2 linked regions of the Coturnix japonica genome follow. The main gene of each other region encodes a partner of the protein of the gene in region 2 in a complex. Links are inferred from orthologs where the notes say so. Each region holds a gene or a part of one and is shown on either strand. Other genes may lie near its edges.

Region 1 (8,652 bases), on a different chromosome or scaffold from region 2:
GGTTTTAACAGGATAGTCAGTTTGGGGGGTTGGTTTTTGTGTTTACTTTTTTGTTGTTGTTGTTGTGTTTTTTTGTTGGTTGGTTTTTTGTTTGTTTTTTTTTTTGGAAATACCACCAGCCAGACTTAAGCAGAGTATAATATTCTTCATATATATCTCACTGGGAAGAATAGATTTGAATTTGAGCTTAAAACACAAGGCAGCATTTTTCAAGCCCAGGCTCAAGAATGTCAGTAACCTCAAAGGCTGCTCACATGGGACTTCCATGAACTCGAGTCACGGCCTTCTGAGAACACAGTGCACCCAAAGCAGGCTGGAGAAATGCTAAAAGAGTCACACAGCCTCTAGTGAGGTCCATGATAATGCAGCACTTGGATATCATGGGTCCAATCATGCAAGAATGCCGAAACCACTGGAGTCCTTCCACACACACCCAAAAAAACAGGCTGTCTCCACTCTCAAAAGCCTTCCACCAGAAGACAAAATTAAGGCTTTGTCATCCAAATAAAATAAGCTGAATGGCTGGGCTGCTCATGTGCAGAAACATCTGCTGGATAGGGAATAACACACAGAAAACTGCCAGCAAGTGTCAAAAGTTCAGAGAAGCAGTAAGTAATCATCCTATTTCAGCCATTTAGACATAGATGAGACAGAAAATCAAGTCAAAAATAGCAAGCCTGTTGGGCAGAAGAAGTCACGAGTAAGTAACTATTTAGAATAAATAGTTTTCCATCACTGCTCTCAGTGAAGCTCCTTAGAAATGATCTTTTAGGAGTTGAATTCACAGAATAAGATGCCAAACCCGGGTACTGCAGATATCTGCGTTCAAGGAGGAGGTCTGTGGCAGTGGCAATCCACAAACACATACATTCCAAGGAAACAACACTAGAAATTTCCCACGACTCTGCCTAGCAATAGTCTCATCAAAAGGAGACATCAAAGGTGGTGTGCACATCTGCTGCAGAAAATGCAAAGACAGCAGTCTTCTACCACATGAAGTTAATGCTAGTGTACTAAACTAAACCCTGCATTTTTAGGACTAACCATCTATCAGTCTTTCTGGAAATTATTACCAGGAAGAAAAATGCTTTAAAGGAAAGAGTCGCTTTCTCTGATGGCCATGTGCTTAGTATCCAGTTGCAAAGCAAATAGCCTTTTAGCTTCTTATGCCAGAGTATCAGATTATTTTATTAAATTTTCATATAGGGTTACAAGGCTTCCTAATAAGTTTTCTTTCCATTTAAAAATATGGGGAAAAAAATGTAAATAATATTTTTAAAAGCACGAAAGGTTAATAAATCTAACTTTTTGGGGCATTTTATGGCAGTGACATCTGTACCTTGTTCTCAGGGAATTTCATGTAGTATGACAGCTCTCAGCAGTAACAACCATCAGAAGGAAGCCAGGCATCTAAAATGGAATTCCAGTCAGGTTGAATTAATCTGGATGTTACTATATACTTGTATTTAATATTAATGCGATGTGAAAAAAAATAACAAAAACCCACAACATCCCTTAAGATACAAAGTCATGTGCAGGGAAGCTGGAACACTCAAGTTTTCCCCTGTCTTGTTATTGCACAATTCAAATGCTACCCCAACTTACCCACTTCTATTGTCTGCCATATTGAATACCCAGTACAAGTGGCACACAAGGAACATTGTTTTATGACTCCTTCTCCCTCACTGTATTGTGTATTTCTCAAAGCCTGTGCTCTCTCCCTCTGTTTTGATCTTTAACCTTATAGCACTCATCACCACCACATCCAGGCCCAGAACAAATATGAAATGAGAGCACAGCTCTCTCCCCACTGCTTCCAAGGTGAGTTTAGTTTTATTGATATGGCTGACCTTACCATCATAACCTTGTCTACCCCAGCTGCTCTGCCTGTGCTGGGCACCCTTCTTTAACTTCCCTACCCTGTACATTAGTACACTACTAATAATTATTAAAAACCTTAACAGCAGTAGAAGTACTGTACCTCCAGATACCTACCATTGTGATGAGGTTGTACAATTTCTCAACTTCCAAAGGCAAGCTGGGAAAATGCTTCAGAGGTCAAAATTACTCATTGGAATGCACTGGTTCTTGGATGTATTTTTTTGTTCCTTTCCTTACCTGTGACATTTATTAGAAGGCATCATCAGGTTTGAGCCAGCAATCCTGAAGGTATGCTTCTCTATAAATATGCAAAGAACTCAATTGCTTTTTAGCAAAGCACTTGAATGTGCTTTTAGTTTGATGTCTGTGGCTCAGTAGCACAAGCTAAACTGATTTTGGAATTATATTGATCATTTCTAGACAAGCAAAGGACAGCTACCAAGTATGGCTGTTCCAGTTCATTTATACAAGGTATTCACTCTGCAGACGCCTACCTGGGGAAGACAAGTCAGTTGTACTGCAGGGCTGTTCCTTGCACTGCTCCTCTCATCGGGGGTGATTGTTCACTGTAATAATTCTCTCTGCATCATTCAGGACCCGATGAATAATTCAGTAGAGTTTCATTACTCCACCTGTCCTGTTTTGTTTACTAGAATATCTTTCTGTCATTCAGCATCTATACCTGGCCTCGAGCATAAAATCTGGAGAAAAAGAAGGAGTCCACAGTGGCTGAAGGGAATCCTTCCCTTTAATATTGGAGTCCTATGAACTGACAATACATTTGGTTTGAGGGGCATCAACTGACTAGAGAAACCCAACATAAACTTATCAATATGTACATCTTCTCTCCTTTACAGGTTTGGGAAGCTCAGGTCTCTTGCTGCATTACTTTGAACTGATAACAAAACATTCTGCTATTTGTAGAGGTTTTCTAAGGAGCAACTATGGTGGCCCTGTCCTCTGACACATTTAGGGTAAGCCCTGTGAACTCTGTCAAGATGCTAACAGAAAAAATCTTGGTCTGTTCTGCACAGCATCTACCAGAACCCCCCTCACGCAGGTATTATACTAGTAGGTTTGTAGACTGCAACACCAAACACAGCAGGATTTTCACTAGCACAGAAATTCTGTGTAGAGATGAAGAAACATTACTGAATATTTTGACTAAACCAGACAGACAAGTCTGAAGCCTTTAGTTCTTCTCCTCACTGAAAATACCGCTATGCCCAGGAATTTACCTTTCACCTTTTTCATTAAATGTCAGTAGTAGCTCTCTGTTTTGATGGCTAATGATAGGAGCTCTTTCAGAACATACCCTCATTACTAAACTGCTCTGGTAAAAGTAAAAATAAAAATTGGGAGCATGTATTAATATCTTCATTTAGACCAATAGCCCTATAAATAATTGTTGGGTTTTTTTAGACTATCTGCAAAACTAACAAAAATCTAGAAAGCTACTTCTGCTTTCTGGCTTGTTCTCTTCAGAAAGACAGCAGAATCAGCATGAACATTAGCAAGCATCCTTTTCAAGAACCGAATGTTGCTGCAAATATCTCACCCGAACCTCTTTTAACTGCTACTCCGGAGACTTTCTGTGTCTCCTACGCCCTCTAGCATCTGGAAGTTGCATTTACAAGCCTCTCCCTTTCTTGAGCATATTTATAGTTAGAATTTCCACACAGTTAATAAAAACTTACTAAAACAGAAAGTGGGAAGCCTTCCCCTCTCTTCTTGCCAGATATATTTTTTACCCGAGGCTGAAGCAAAAACATGAAAATGTTAGTGTGAATTCTCATAGACATTACAGGTGCTTTATGCTTCCCTGGCAGCGTGTGTGGGCCTTAGAGATGCAGAGAATATTCTCATCAATTTGGGGTCATCTGTGAATACTGTTATCAGTTGGGAAATGTCACTTAAATTATAGGAAATGGGTATTCCTATCTGGAGGAAGAAGTGAACTGTGAGACATGTATGATGTGACCTAATTACAATAAGTTAAATAAGATCATCAAATTGTATGCAGCAAAAAGCACCAAGTGCACAAAATGAGAGGCTGGATTTCTGATTAGAGGAGATTAAAACATGGGAGGGGGGAATGTGTGCATAAAAAAAAGGCTGATGTCCATAGATAGAGATCCTGCAGCCTCCAGGAGAAAGGAGTTTTCTTTGCACAGTTTAGAGGGGCTCTACTTCAGATCCCACCTGCTGTATCATTACAGTGGCACACGTAAAACATATTTTTGGCAAACATAGGGAACACTCAGATAATAAAACTTTAAAAGAGGAGGGATACTGGTATGAGAAAGGTCTTGGTACCCTTGTGGCTGCCTAGGCTGCTCTTTCTGTGGGTGGGCCCCTCCAGCTACTTGTGTTTCCAAGAGATAGGGTGCAGCGTGAGGGGCTTTAGTTACCCATGCTACAGGTCTCAGTGCTGTTATTTTAAGGTGCTATTCCATCATCTTTCAGAAGTCAATTCCGTAAGTGGATGGTTTTCATTTTATCTCTTCAACTCCAGCATTGAGATCTGTTTCTGTTTTCCATTTGATTCTCTGCTTGCATTATATTAGGAACATAATTCAATACTTATTTTTATAACTGATTTAACACTTAGTATATTTAACTATAAAATGATATGGAAGAACTTTCCAGCTTTGGAGGAAATGATCTGTGTTAACTAAGAGTACAAACCTTGCTTAGAAACTTACTCAGAAGTGTCTTGGAGGACTTACAAAGTGCTAAAAAGCCACTGGGACTTTTCCATAGATTAAATGCCAGTATTTACAGAGAAAAGTCATTACACCAACACTGTGATGTGCTTGCTTGGGATTCATTTGTAAAAGCAGGCCAGTTCTACCCACTAATAACTATGATGTTCGTTCAATCCAAAAACATGGTTATATCATGAGCTAAAAATGGAATTACAAACTATCTATGTAACTATTTAGGGACATGCTAATTAGAATAATTGGCTCCCTCTATGACAGTGGAGACCTATAACAGCCTTTCAAGCATGTCAGCAGAGTAATGGGCAAATTAATGCTGTCCATATTGTTGATTTGGAGTTCCAGATTGTTTGCAAAGCTATGAAGATGCTAGAGTGTATAAATAGCCATAAGGTGAACATTCTTCTATGGAGCAGAAGTGGCCTGAAAGACAGCGAACAAAAATTAAGCAAATGACTGGGTTTTTAAAAAGAAAAAAAAAAAAACAAACAATAACAAAAAGGCTGCTTGAAATCATGATGTATGAGCTCAGCAAAGCCACACTTAGGGCAGATAATTGTGCAGTGAATAGAGGTCAGTGGGCTCTACTGAGGTGGAGGCAGTCGAGGTCCTTGGAGGGAAGGAGGAGGAGGAGGAGACATCCTGGCTTCTCAAGCACTCAGATTGTAATCCTGGGAGCAGTCACCCAAGACAACCTTGCTGGCAGCTACTCAAGAATGTTGTGCCCATGACTCCACCATAAGTGATCATCACCTCCAGACAGCCACACTCCCCTGTCATTTAGTCTCCTTGGAGAAGACTGAATAGGTGAATGCAATGCCAAATTGCTTCATATGCTAATGTGACAAGATACTATTAGGAAAAGCCATTGAAAAGAAGAATTGTGACACAACAGAAGTAAATAGAAAAGGCAGACTACTACAAGTGTAATCTTCTTTGGTGGGCAGCCAACATCTTTGTAACAAAACACTGTGTGGGATCTAAGAGTATTTTCTCAGATACAGAGGAAAAACGCTTGCCCAAAGGTACACATTCAGATATTTAAAGACAACATTTGCCTTTCTGGAGGTGACACTAATGAGTTAGCTGGGATCACAGTTCGGCCCCAGCCAAAGAGGTAATTGGTGCAAAACAACAATTGTGATAAAAGCCAAGAAAAGAAAGGAGAATTGTTGCAAGCCATTTTATAACTCTAAGGATGGATTGAAAGATCCTGGAAAATGTACTGCAAAGTTTGGCAAAATTTAGAAACTGAAATTAATACTTGCTGGAAAAAAAAAAAAAAAAAAAGTACTAGGATCTGTGGGCGTTTTCTGCAAAAGAGAATTTGAAAAGGAACATCCTAAGTAAAGGTCAGTTCTGTGCAGACTAAAGGAAGGATGTGGTGTCTATTAGAACAGTAAAGAGGAAGAAAATTTATGTGCCATGTAGACCCCACCCAGCAGATGGGAAGGGTTCAATTAATTGTCACAAGTAACGAGCAAAACCAACTTGGACCACAATTGCCAGTGCTCAACATATGTGAAAACAAGCTTGAAATGCTTGAAGTGCTCAGGTGTTCTGAGATAGCTCTGACACTGTTCAATACAGACAAATGCAAGGCCCAAATTCTCTAGCATAGCTAAACTACCCACCTTGGAAGGATGTTCAATCTGCTAATTATACATGGTAGTGCTGGTTTAGACAGTAGATACCAAAATTTACTACTGCTTACTAACAGTTGCTTTTGGCAGTGCTTGGTGTTGGAAGCAATAGCATTAGCTGTTCTCCCTTCTCACACTGCAGATGATGAAAGCTTTCAGGAAGATGAATTCCACTAAGAGGAGGAAAAATAGATCTAAATATATGGAAAGAGCCACAGTAAATTCACTTGGGTTCTTTCAAAATGATGCTCTATTAGTGCGCGCAGCTATGTCCTGGTGCATGATCATGAACCAAAATCTCAGCTGGATCTAGGAACAGGAAGACATCTGCCACTTGGCAAAGAGCACATGGCTGAACAGCTATAGCTCCTGCAGCCATTTTGGCAGCTGAAAAGGTCCATCAGGAGATATATTGATGTTGGAGCTTCTGTCATCATTTGGACCTCACATACCTCTCATCCAGACCCTGTAGCAGCTCACCCACACCTCCCCGACACCCTGTGTGGAGCCACAGCCCTGCACAGTGGCCCTGGGGACCCATGATACCCTGGGAGCCTACAACACCCTACTGCTGTCCCCTTTCCCACAGGGCTCTGGGAGGTGAGCAAGCAGGCTGCTTCATGGCACCAGCCCAAGGCCACCCCTGCTCACCTGGCCTGTGTCCCACTGGGAGCTGCACTCACCACAAAGACAAAAGCAGAAGCATGTGTGTATTTCAGAGGAGAGGGCTCCTGCAGCTCCTCACTGTGCTTGTTCACTGGCCACAAGATGGTGCCTTTCTACCTCCCATCAGCTCAGGGAGAAGACCAGGTGGAAATCAGGACCTGCCTTAGGCTCACATCATGCTTGTCTGTATTTGTACTCTTAAAACAAACAAACAAACAAAAAACCCTATCAATTCTGCAAAATAAACTCCCCCCAGAATCTACAGTGATGGGAAGACAGTCTTCAAGAAATTACCCTCAGACAGTTATTTCTCAGAAATTTCTTCCTTCTTTACCTTTCCTTGCAAAGTCCCCATCACAAAGACTTTACTTGCACACAGATTAAATTGGGTTCAGGGACTAGGAGGGTGCATATTGTTGCTGTTTGGTTCTGTGGGTCTTTTCTTTGTTTGGGGTATCTTTGAGAGTTGACAGTTGTAGGTAATGTTATCAAGAACAGCATTAAAAAAAAAATAAATTGAAGCAATTTCTTCTGGATTTTCAGAAAGTCAATCAAAGCAATCGACAAACTCCTGATGGCTCTGCAATTTATAGGGTTGGAAACTACATGTGAAGGAGCCTCAGATGTGTCTCAGCTGTAAACTGAAACAATAAACTGCTTGAGCATCAATGTTTTAAGGCCAGAAGGAGACAAGGAACTGTGCCTGGCTTCTTACTGAATATGTATCATTGGCTTACATGTATTCATCCTGGCATCTTATTTCGGAGCAGATTAAGCTGGGTGCCATAGTAAAGAACAAAAACCAGCTACCACCTGTGTTCCAAGGCTCTACAATGACATGGAAAGCACTGTTGTGACGATCAGGTGACCACAGCACATTATCCATGCTTTGTGCAAAGAAAAAATGACAAAAATATGCGAAATCCAGAGAAAAAATGCTTCCTGACTGCAAAATTGGGTCTTCCACACATGACCCAAGTGGGGTCTTGCAGAACAGGGCTTCATCTTGCAGTTCCAGTAAATACAGATGTGGTAAATCTAAGCTACTTCAGAAGTACACAGACAAAAAGTACCGAACTGTCTCAGCATAACATTTCTAAGCTAAGGAGAAGCCATCCCATCTGCATCCTTTCCTTACCCACTTAAACACTAGAACTTTTCCCTCTAAACTGGCTTATATCTTCTAGAAGTTATACCTACAAGGTCTGCTTTGTATACTGACTTACCATAGCTGGAATGTCCTTCAAGTAGTAAAACCATGGCCATGAATGAGCTACAGAAGCATCACCACTGGGCAGCCTTACTGACTATATCTACATCTGGTTGACCTCGCTTCTCTTTTTTCTATTACACCTGCAGCAAAGAGAGACAGAGATACGGTGAGGGGCTTAATCTCTACTTTACAGTGAGATGATCTTCATCTGAACTGATGAAGCAGAGCTTGGAGTCCAACTGTAGAGCAAAAAACAAATCTAAACAAATATCTGACTCAGCTACTAAACTGAAAAAGCAGCAGCTGCATGGAATGAGCTGGCAGCATCACTTAAAGAGCCATGGATTGCTTCCAGCTACCCTCTTCTCCACTTACTCTAATTATTTGTCCCTGGTCCCGAAGTAGATTCAGCTTCAGGATTGCTTAAAAGAAATGTAAATTTCCGGAGTACCTTTTAAAATTCCCTTTCCAATTTACTTTTTTAACCTTACACCTACAAGATACCTTAGGCTGTTTTGGACCAACT
Region 2 (10,570 bases):
CCACCCTTCTGAACAGCAGGAGCACAGAAGCCAGCAGAGGTTTAAGCTCTACTCCCTTTCCCTTCCTCTCCCCAAAAGAAAGGGATATTTTTGTTTTGCCTTTTTATTTTTTTACATGGTTACACATTCCAAAGTGCCGCAGTGCTGCCGTATGAGCTCCACTTCAAAGGCACTGCAGCAGCCAGTGCTCACAAGTTAGACTTGTTTAGGCTGGCAGGGAAAACAATTTGCCAAAAAGAAACTATTCAGAAGCTTACCCACTTTTAAATATATTTTTAGTAGAGGAGTTGACGTATTTATTGCTTAGCACTAATATTACCTTCCTTTGCAAGTAAACATACACTTGTGTAATTCACAAATGCATATTTCATCAAGAGCTTGCAGAGATGTCACAAAACAAGAACAGAACTCAGACTTAAAGTTGTCACCAGAACTCACCCATCTCTATATTGTTAATTGTCAAGGAAGGCAATGTCTCCTCATCTGTTTCATCAGTCACCAGTACAAATATTCATGCTTCTCACCACCCTCCTCTCTGACAGCGTCTTTCAAACAGACCATTCACAGTGTTCTTCCAGTCAAACAACTACTTTGCCCTTCCATGCTCAGCACCGGAGTTACTTGGCATCAACAAGTGGGTGTGGGTATACTTTAGCAATTACAAAGCATGATACATACATTTTTAAATACCACTGTAACCCACACACTGGGAAGATGACGTGACAGGTCTTTGCTCTGCACAGGTTTGCACAAACTCAAGTCAGGCAACTCCCGCAAGCAGCCAGCTGCAAGTTGCCCTGCCTGCACTCATCGCCTCAGAGCAGTCCTGGTGCTCAGCACTACAAGGGAACCAGAAGTTACTAATATGCTTTGCATCACATTTCAACTATTTCATTTAACTGGGCTCCATGTCCATCCTCTATGCCATCTCCAGTGGGTGCCACCTCCCTGCTGCTGGAAGCCCTGTGCCTCCCTCCTGCCGACTGCATGGCACATGGCTGCCTTAGGTGGCTGACGTGGACACATCGAGCTGGCCCACATCCAACTAGAGGCACATTAATCAGTGATTAATTACAAATTAAGGAGGTAGACAACCATGAACACTCTTGCAGACACTACCTCCTTAAATCAGAAGATCCCAGCAGCATCTTTGGCTCCTTCCCTCCTCTCATCATCTCCCATGACCATATTTCCTTTTTTGCTGTCCGATGACTGATGATCTACACTCATTACTGTGCTCATCAGCAGCCACAGGGCTGCCTGGCAGCCACATTCCGACCAGTCACTGTGGGCTGGCTACCGGAACGCACCCAGCCCAGCTTGTCCTGCCTTGCCTAAAGGAGGCAACAAACCAAGGCCTCCTCTGCCCATCTGTTATTTTTCACAGAGCTACAGAAGCATCTGCCAAATGATGTCATCAAAGGCTGGGAGATTCAGAATTGACATGGTGAAAGTACAAATCGAGGCAGACCAACCACATGCATTCTATTTCCTCACAAAAATCAGCTATAGAGAGTGGCTGTTTCAAGATCACGGAGAATTTTCCAATGCTGAACTAAGTCTGAATTTCCTTTCAGGGAGCAGCTACAGCGTAAGTGAAAGAACAGGAAAAGAATCTTGCAGTGGATAACCTGAAAACAAAGCAGAGCTTTGTGTACCATGTGAAGACAAAGACAGAGCAAGGAACAAAAAAATACAGCAATGTTTCTCTTACTGAAATACAGAGGTTAGTTTGACTCCAGACCTCGAAAGTGTAAATCCAAATATAAATGCCAGCAGTGAGTCCAGAGGTACTGAACCACAACTGGAACCAGACAAACCACAATTTTAGTCTTTAATGGTGTCCAGGGATATTTCTTAAATTCACCTATTAACGAGGAAGCACAGCCAATAGCATTTGTGTAGTAATAACCATTCCCCTCTGAACAGTCCTTAACACAGCAGTGTGACATGCTGGGAAGCAGCTGTTTTCTCCAGACTTTGGCACAACACAAGTTCAACAGCTGATCAGCTGGCACCACACAGAACCCCCCGTACTGACAAAGTGACTCTGAGGTTTTATTCACGGTCAACAGCAAATATGGAGCAATTCCAGCTCTGAGATATCACCTTTCCTCCAGATGGCTTTACACACAGAGCAGATACCCTCGGAATGAACCACAAGGCTCCAGATGAAGGACCAAGGACCCGACACAAGCAGCGTTCCAGTGTATCACTGAGCACAGCCCGTCAGACACAGGTGGGCTGCACCCAGAGGGCAGAGCGGGACCATGGGGCTTTGTAACTAGGAGCATGCCTGGTAGAGCAGACTCTGCACAGCTTGTCATTACATAGTGCATGGGGAAGACCCAGCCTATGCTATCAGACTACCAGACAAGCAGTAAGTAAATACATTAATACCAGCATCTAATGTGCTTGATCAAGATGCTTCCTCCTCCACCCCAGATCTATCTGCCATGTTGACTGACAAATATCAGACCACATGAAACTAAGCCACATCACTGATTACTGCAGAAAGTCCCAAAGCAGGTGGAAACGGGGCACTATATCAGCTTTGGGCCACACGTGACACCCATTCAACAAAACAGGAACCCTACCAACGCACTCTGCACAACACCAGGATCTCACTTACAGCATGCCAACAGAAAGCAGCACACAAAGCTTCCTCTCCTGTTCCCAAAGCTATTTTTTGCATAGGAAATCATCTGCTCCTCGTCAGAAGAATCAAAAGAATGCTAGCGAAGTGTTTCATTGCTAGAACTGACTGACCCACGGGTAACCACCTTGTATGAGCCAAAAGAACAGGATTACAACAGGGAAACTTGGAACCTTGACTCCTCGATCTATAAAATTATTTCATCTCTCTCGTTAGCCAATTAATGCCCAAGACTTAATTGCTTCAGCATCACCAGCAGTACTTCCACACAGGTAACAAAAGCAGTTTGTCAAACAGTAAACAAAAAACAGCAGGAGCTGTGACACTCACAAGTACCTTCGTGTTGAATGATCCAACTGACCCAACTCTTCACTCCTGCCCCCAGCCTGTTCCTAGTGCTACATTTACTGAAAAGGATAAAAAGGGTTTTTGTGCACGTCCTTAACTCAGCATGGCTGAGGGAGGAAGCCCCAGAGATAACTGAGAGGCAGGACGCCCAGGACAGCCTGAATCAGGACTGGAAATCTGCTTTACTGAAAACATTAAATAACAGAAGGAAAAATTAATAACAAATTCTGCATAAAAATCTACAATTGCTTTACGAGACTAAAGAATAATTAATTATACTAGTGCACAATTTTATTTTTTAATAAGCTTAAAAAAGATCCTAGCAAGAAGGTCCTCCTAACTCTCAAGACACTAAAAACCAACCAAAAACCAAGAGGCATCAAGCACGTCTGAGACAAAGCTTGTTCACAGCAAAGCGAGGATCACACTGCGACCCCAGCTGAAAATGAAAGCATGGACACAGCTCCAGAGCAGAGTCCAACGTGGATTATCTAACTGCCAGCACACTGCTGCATTATGACAAACATGGTCACAGTGGAGACGCTTAATTTACTGCCCTATTTCTAAACAGGCTTGATCTCATTTTTACACATTCTTTGGTTACCTAAACACAACTGACCTCGCCACATGGTGCGTTCCAAGCCAAGGTAGAGGAAGATTAGCTCTTCCAGGCCCTCTCATGTACGACAAACCCTCTTTACTCTCCCTACACTTACAGCCCTTTTTGGCCTAACACAACAATCAGACTGAAATACATATGCATTCCTTTTAACAGGTCACTCATTAAGAGCAGAAAGAAATGCCAGGCACTTTGAACAACAATGCAATACATGAGGGAGAGAAACCACCATCTAGTCATTGCTGGTGTGTTGGTCAGAGTACCATCATGGTTCCACACCAACTATTAACCACAGTAAGTAAGGAAGTGCCCTATTAGGCACTGCAGTAATACAGGTTTGTAAAGCGAAATGGTTCAGGCATCTTGTAATGATGCAGGCTGGACAGTAACTTACAGGCTGAGAACACGCTGCTGGCAAAAACAAACAGAACCATCAGCACATGTAGCACATATAGCACATATAACAGCAGATATGGGAACACAGAGCAGCAGCCAATGCATGTGTACTGCACATACTGCACTGATACCTTGGCATAAGAAACAGCAAAGCCCAGCAATGCAGAGGTGGCACTGCTCTCAGCACCTCTCACAGAACATCTCTCAGAACAGAATATCCCATCATGAAAGAATATTTCTCTGGAAACACCTAAATACCTGACCAGCGTGCAAGGAGCCAACACAAGGACATACAAGGACATACAAGGACACTGTAACTCTAAGGACACCACAAGTAGGTCATGTACAGCAGCCATCTAAACCCTGCAGTAAGGCAAGCCCCCACCATGGCAACATGCGAAAGGAAGACAAAGTGCCAGCAGTATAACGTAACTAATATCCTTATAATAAAACTAGTCAGGCAACAAGGAACTAATTCTACATGCAATGAGATTTTTGATGCAAAATGCTGGAGTAGCATCTTCTCTGCGCCTTGAAGAACAGCAAAACCTGAGATGTGTTACTAAGACCTGACTCTTCTGCCACAGCTGTACCCAACCACTGTAACACATCAATGCATCAATCCTGCACACTGCCCAGCCACAGCCAGGCTGGAACAGAATTGTGAGCAGCGTAACAGCAGGACAATGGTAGAAAATGAGCTAAGAAATTAAAAGATTTGGAGAGGCCCCGTTGTACATCACATCATGTTTTTCCTCCATAACTCAGCGGCACAAAAGCTTCCCCTTCTTATTAATAAGGGTTTACACAAGTTCCCTTATCTGAACAGGAACACTTGTGAAGCACTAAGAGGCAACTTGCCATTAACCATCTGCTCAACGTCACACCATCTCAGACCAGCTCTCACCAGGTTTCCTACTTCTGCTCTTCCGACACTTCACACTCCTGACGCTGTGATCTCTAACAACACAGCCTTCTATTTTTGATGCAATCATTTGCATGGCTGACTTCCCACTGAGTGCCTACATGAAAGCAAACAGTTCCTTCCTTCATCTGATGCCTTTCTGCTCTCTCCTTCCATGGACTGGTAACAGCCGTACCAGGTTCATCTCTGACCAGGCTCTAAGATCAGTTCTGCTGCCATTTGGTGGCAAGAAGTGAGGAAAACAGACAGCAAAACTAGCCCTAGCAAACTAGGGAGAGATTTCCACCCTGACAAAGAGACAGAGCTCAGTTTCAAATCGCATTGATCTCCTTTACAATGCCCCAGAAGAAACACCTGCTGTGTTAGTGCAGTGCTGCTGTTGTGCACGATCCGATGTGCCACGGCCTTTAAATAATTCAGAAAGCGAAAGAAAGAAAGAAAGAAAAGGACAGAAGGAAACAGCAGTGTAAGCCAAGTGACAGAGACGGGATGTAAAGAAAGTGCTGAGATCTCCATCAGCATCTGTAAAACAATACTTTGACCTTCCAAGCATGAAGTTGTGCTGTATTTCTCCAGCAAGAGAAAACAGGACAATAGCAACAGCCAACAGCAAGCAGCTCTCAAACAAGAGCATTACGGCAAGGCCGGCACAAGCGTCTTCTGGCCCAATGGTGATGGCTCAAGTTTCAGACAGGTTTCGTGTAAGCTTTGCAGGGAAGTAACTGAAGGCATAAAGTCCATTTGTCCTGAGGGCTGTAGAACCGCCTGTGTCTATGGAACCACGGATGGAAGCAGCGCAGCAGAACGCTGCCACGAGCCAACAGAGCGCTTCGAAATCACGGCAACGTATGTACAAAGGCTTCACAAAGACCGCGTTACAAGGATGACAACTCTGCTCGTGTTTCCAGCTCCAACAAAGCCGGCATTTACACGGGAGGCGCAGCCCGGCCCTGCCCGGCCCGTCAGCCCCGCGCCAAGCCGGCAGGAACCGCAGCGCCCGGCCGGCAGGGAGCAGCATCGCGGCACCGGGACTGCGGCACACCGCGACCTGCAGCCCAGATCCGGAGCAGCGCAGCGCACACCGGCTGCACGCCGCGCTCCGCATCTCAGCGTGCTCAGCGCAGACACCTGCAAGCGCGGCGTGACGGAGACCGCGCCGTTTGTGCTCCGGGACGCGGCTCCCAGCTCCGCCGGCTGTTGGGCACCTCACCTGGTCCCGGAGCTCCTCACCTGGTCCCGGAGCTCCTCACCTGGTGCCGCCGTTCCGGGCCCGGTGCCGCCGGCAGTTTCCAGAGCGACCGCCGAGCAGTTCCTGGCGGTGCCGCCCAGGCGCAGCCGCGCTTCGAACCCGCCAATCCCCGCGCGGCCCCGAGGCGGGGCGGACAACGGCTCCGGGCCTTGCACGCAGGCGCTGCGGCCGGCGGCGGCGGAAGGCGGCATCATTCACAGCGGCCAATGGGAGTCACGGCACGGCAGGACGGGGCGGGCACAGGCTGAGCCCCGCAGCCGGAGCGGCAGGTGGCACCGCACGGCGCGGGTGGGAGCAGCAGACGCAGCTCGGGAGCAGGGAGCTGTGAGGTTCTATCTGTCTGCTGCCGCTGCCCGCTGGTACGAAGGGATCCAGCTCTGCCGCAGCTCCCGGCACAGCGCAGCGCTCTGCTGCCAGAATGCACCGAGCGTGAGCTGCTGGGGGATGAGGAATAAGCCGAATAACGGGGAGCAGCGGGCCGGGGCGGTGAGTGCGTTTTCTTCTCGCAGAGCTGCTATAGCGCAAGTTTCGTTACCTTCCATTAGCACCCTGGTCTCCTATCAGCAGGAGGACTATGAAAGAATAACCCACGCTTACCTGCACTGCACTCCATTCTCCTTTCACAGCACTTTTGGCACCTGTCCCTCTTGGTCTCCATAGCAGCACAGACACCATCTCAGTGCACCCAGCCCATGGGTGGAAGCCCCAATGAGCTGTTCAGTTTCAAATGAATTAAGCTACATCACAGACACAACGGACGCAGAACAAGATGATTTACCTTGTGATGGAGATGGGGGAATAGCCTGCAAATATCACAGCAAGTCAGATCAATTGAATGGCTGCACTTGTATCGTGTGTATTTCTGATTCTTTAAACTTACCCTGCTCTGGAGATAACAGAAACGCATCAGCAAATGATGACATTCATGTACAAGATGAAGGTGCCTTTGACTGTAACACAGGTACCATCAGGACAGTCAGAAGTAAAGCTGGAATAGCTGGAAGTGAAGTGTCCTTCACACAGGCATTACCAGCTGGTGGTAGCCAACCAGATGGCACAGACCCTCCGAGTCACTCAAACATGTCCCATGTCCTTCTGCGTCATTTTCCTATGGGAGAGTTGATGAGCACATGGCAGTTTATTGAACGTGAGACTATACCAGAAACATCCCTGACTGAAAGTATTGACGAAGCCACAAACAAACATGAGACTTCTGAACGTGTCAAAGGCCCTTCAACGGGTGAACAAGAGGCAGCCAAGTTTGAAGAACACCACTTACAAAGGCTCAAAGCAGTGAATATCTTTCAAAACACAGAACAGAGACGCATGCTTAAGAAATCAGTTTCTTCTCATGAGCTCATAGAAGACCAAGGTGAAGTTCAGAGTCGTCAGGAAGGCCATAATGAAGTCACTTCAGAAATGAAAGTACCAGAAATGAGTGAGAATAAGAAATCAGTTCCCACCATTAAAAGAACAAAACCCTTCCCCAGACTGCTAAATCAATCAGTAACTGGCAACAACGTCCTAGAAAATCAGGAAGAAATGAGCATTCCAGAACCATCCCAGCAGCGAAAGGTAATTAAGATGCTTTAAGAATTTAGCGAAGTCTTAACACAAAAGTAAAGAGCAGTGCTTATAATAAAAAGGTATTCTGTGTTAGGTCACCTCTCACTGTGCCTGGTTCATGCAGGCACTCAACAGCCATCAGCAGGGCAAGCGTACCACTATCAATAGGCACGTGGACAAACTTCTGTGAGGCAGAATCCCCATGGAGCTTTCATTACCAATTAACAGTGCTCTGCTGTGCTGTTTCTGATGGCAAATCATCCTGGCAAATCATTAGGAAGTTCACTCTAAGCAGTTATTTCCACTGTTATACAGAAACGTTGTCATTCACTGGAAGTAGTGTAAATGGGAATTTATTCTTGAAACATTTTTAATCCCCTGCCTGTTCTTACATTGAAGAATACAAACACTCTCCAGCTGTTCAGCCCAGCATCCCCTGACAGGTCACTTTATTTCTGAAGGTTTTGCTCCATAAGGAGATTTGTCTTACATCAAATTTTAAGATTTCTCTTACAGTAGTAACTTCCTGTTAAGATTTGTGGTAATTAGATAAGCACTTCTTAATGCCATGCCCTGCCACTGAGTTCACTCACAGAGCTATACAGATGCTTAAGTCCTTTCCTGGGCTTATCCCTTCATAACCTGTTCAGGATGGAACAACTTCTAATACTTTTCCCTATTACTTCTTGATGGTATATTTAGATGTGAATGCAGCACGCTGCCATCAAGAATCCTACTGATCTCCTGAGATACAGTCATCAGATACAGAAGTCCTCCCAAGAAGACTCTCATTTCATTTTCTTATTTCCAAGGCTCTGAACTATTTTCTCACCTTTATAATATACTTCCCATTTACACAAGTTTTTAAATTCAGATTTTCAGAACCCTGAGTTGCATATTTCAGTACATGCACAATGAGATACTACGCAAACCAAAATCAAAGCAAATTGTATGGTGCGGTTATAACAAACTTCCCATTAACTTCAGAAAGCTGTCCTACACATTTCTAAACTTGGTATTGTCCAGAGCATTCTGTGTGATTTTTCTCTAACCAAGATTCTCACTTTGACAGATACTTCCTCAGTCGGGTTTTCCAAATGCAGGATTTGCCATTTACTCAGGAGCCCCTGAGGACTCTACAGCAAACACCTGTGTCCTTCTACAGCCTGCACATGGTTTGTCTGAACCAAGTAAGCGTGAAAAACTAATTTCAAGTAAACCAATAGCACTTTTGGGTGGAAGGTTTTGGCAAGCAGTCTAACTAACACATTTTCTCTTGCATTTTGTAGGACTGCCGTGTGGGACAACAACATCAGCACTTCCAGCAACTCGCACAGTAGAAATACGCTGTTTAAATGCTTCTAATTTACTGCCCGAAACAACACAAGGAGAGAAGATGTCTCAAATACTAAAGGATCAGACAGATCAACTAAAAACGAAAGTAAAGAGCTCTGTTTCAGTATCTATTTCACATTGATTCTTAAGTTTTACAGTAGTATGGCGCGTTTGTTTTTAACAAACAATATATAAGTCTGGTGTTTTCTCTTACAGGTGGAAGACTTCTCTAAACACATGACCAGAGAGACATCTCTCTTACAAGAAGATTATCTGGTAAATTACCACCTGTTCAGTTATCAGAAGTGTACTTCAGCTGGCTAACAGACTTCAGTTTTCCTGGCAGGGTACTCAGTGCTTTTCTCAGACAGACCTTTAAAAATAATCTTGATCTGAGTCTCAGATTTAAACTGAGTTTAAGAAGCAAAAATGGAGGAGCTCAGTAAGAGGCTCATTTCTTAAATTTAAAGATTACAGTTGGGAAGTACTTAGTGAAAGGCCTTAAGTTGGCATAGAAATCACTATCTATGATAGTAGGGTGGTACATCTGAAGCGTGATTGAGTATTTTACTTCTAAATAACCAAGCATCACAGCATGCTGGATAGCTATAGATAAAATTGAGAGCTGCAGCAAAATTCTTACTAATATCACTGCCGATACATCTGTCTCACATAGCAAAAGTAGATATTAGTATGTCTTACTAACAGTAACATCATTTACTGTTGAACTTATTGTTGAAGGTTCTAAATCAATTGAAAACACACCTTGATGCCTTGGAAAGGAATTATTTAACTGCTAGAGAGGAGCATCGTAACTTACAGCTGCAGTGCTACAAGGACAAGTCTACCGGCATTGGAGAATTTGATCCTGAAAGGTTTGAAGATAAGCACAAAGTACTTCATCAGCATATTTTCCATGTTTTAAAGCATCTAACCACTATTACTTCAGCCATTTGTGCTTTTCAGAGGTGAAATCATTATCTTAACATTACACAGGGTAAGCTAGAAGGTACTTGGCCGAAATCCATCTCATGCTTTACATATCCTTGTTATAACAAGGATATCTATTTGATTAATTCAAGCATTTAAAAGAGACTCAGTGAACTCCATTTCCTTCTTCCCTCTATTAACTGTTCATTGCAATGCCAAATATGGTTGCCATAGTAAGAAACAGAAGTTTAATTAGCTGTGTATTGTGATTGATTTTAGAAAAGTAGAAGGGGAAATATTTAGACTTGGCACGCTGCTTGAAGACATCCAAGAACAAGCTGACGGCAGCAAGCACAGATGGGCTCCTTCGCTTACTTCCTGTGGATCTGCCCATTCATCCTATCGTCTTTGGGAGGTAACTGAGTTTAATCATTTAAAGACTGCATTACTCCATTCTACTGCAGAAAATCAGTGTGGTTAATGCATGTTCTCCTCTAACATTTGTAAAAGCATGATGCTTTTGGATAGCATGTTACTTTGGAAAAA

The links. The genes of interacting proteins can lie anywhere in the genome.
Region 1: the proteins of GPSM2 (region 2) and INSC are in contact, whole or in part, in a crystal structure (PDB 3RO3), measured with the Mus musculus proteins. The link is inferred for Coturnix japonica from reciprocal best matches to the Homo sapiens genes GPSM2 and INSC. Residues at the interface, in NP_083798.2 of Mus musculus: Asn210, Tyr213, Leu214, Phe218, Arg242, Ser246, Asn247, Asn250, Ile253, Phe254, Tyr265, Gln283, Tyr286, Ser287, Asn290, Thr291, Thr293, Leu294, Arg323, Trp326, Ser327, Asn330; in XP_006507722.1 of Mus musculus: Val72, Asp73, Ser74, Val75, Arg77, Trp78, Met79, Asp81, Leu82, Lys83, Leu84, Met85, Thr86, Glu87.

The regions. Positions count from the first base shown.
Region 1 is NC_029520.1:14,709,982-14,718,633, reverse strand, and holds the start of INSC (protein inscuteable homolog), read right to left. Parts: upstream 6,727-8,652; 5' UTR 3,579-6,726; exon of another isoform or gene 2,376-3,578; intron 2,349-2,375; exon of another isoform or gene 2,119-2,348; 5' UTR 1,996-2,118; intron 1,411-1,995; 5' UTR 1,340-1,410; intron 1-1,339. UniProt on the Homo sapiens protein: May function as an adapter linking the Par3 complex to the GPSM1/GPSM2 complex. Involved in spindle orientation during mitosis. May regulate cell proliferation and differentiation in the developing nervous system.
Region 2 is NC_029523.1:1,217,436-1,228,005, reverse strand, and holds the start of GPSM2 (G-protein-signaling modulator 2), read right to left. Parts: upstream 6,400-10,570; 5' UTR 6,388-6,399; coding exon 6,155-6,387; intron 5,939-6,154; exon of another isoform or gene 1,715-5,938; intron 1-1,714. Other genes in the region: protein AKNAD1, read left to right, coding at 6,638-6,679, 6,854-7,768, 8,832-8,949, 9,049-9,200, 9,311-9,370, 9,836-9,969, 10,304-10,439. UniProt on the Homo sapiens protein: Plays an important role in mitotic spindle pole organization via its interaction with NUMA1. Required for cortical dynein-dynactin complex recruitment during metaphase. Plays a role in metaphase spindle orientation.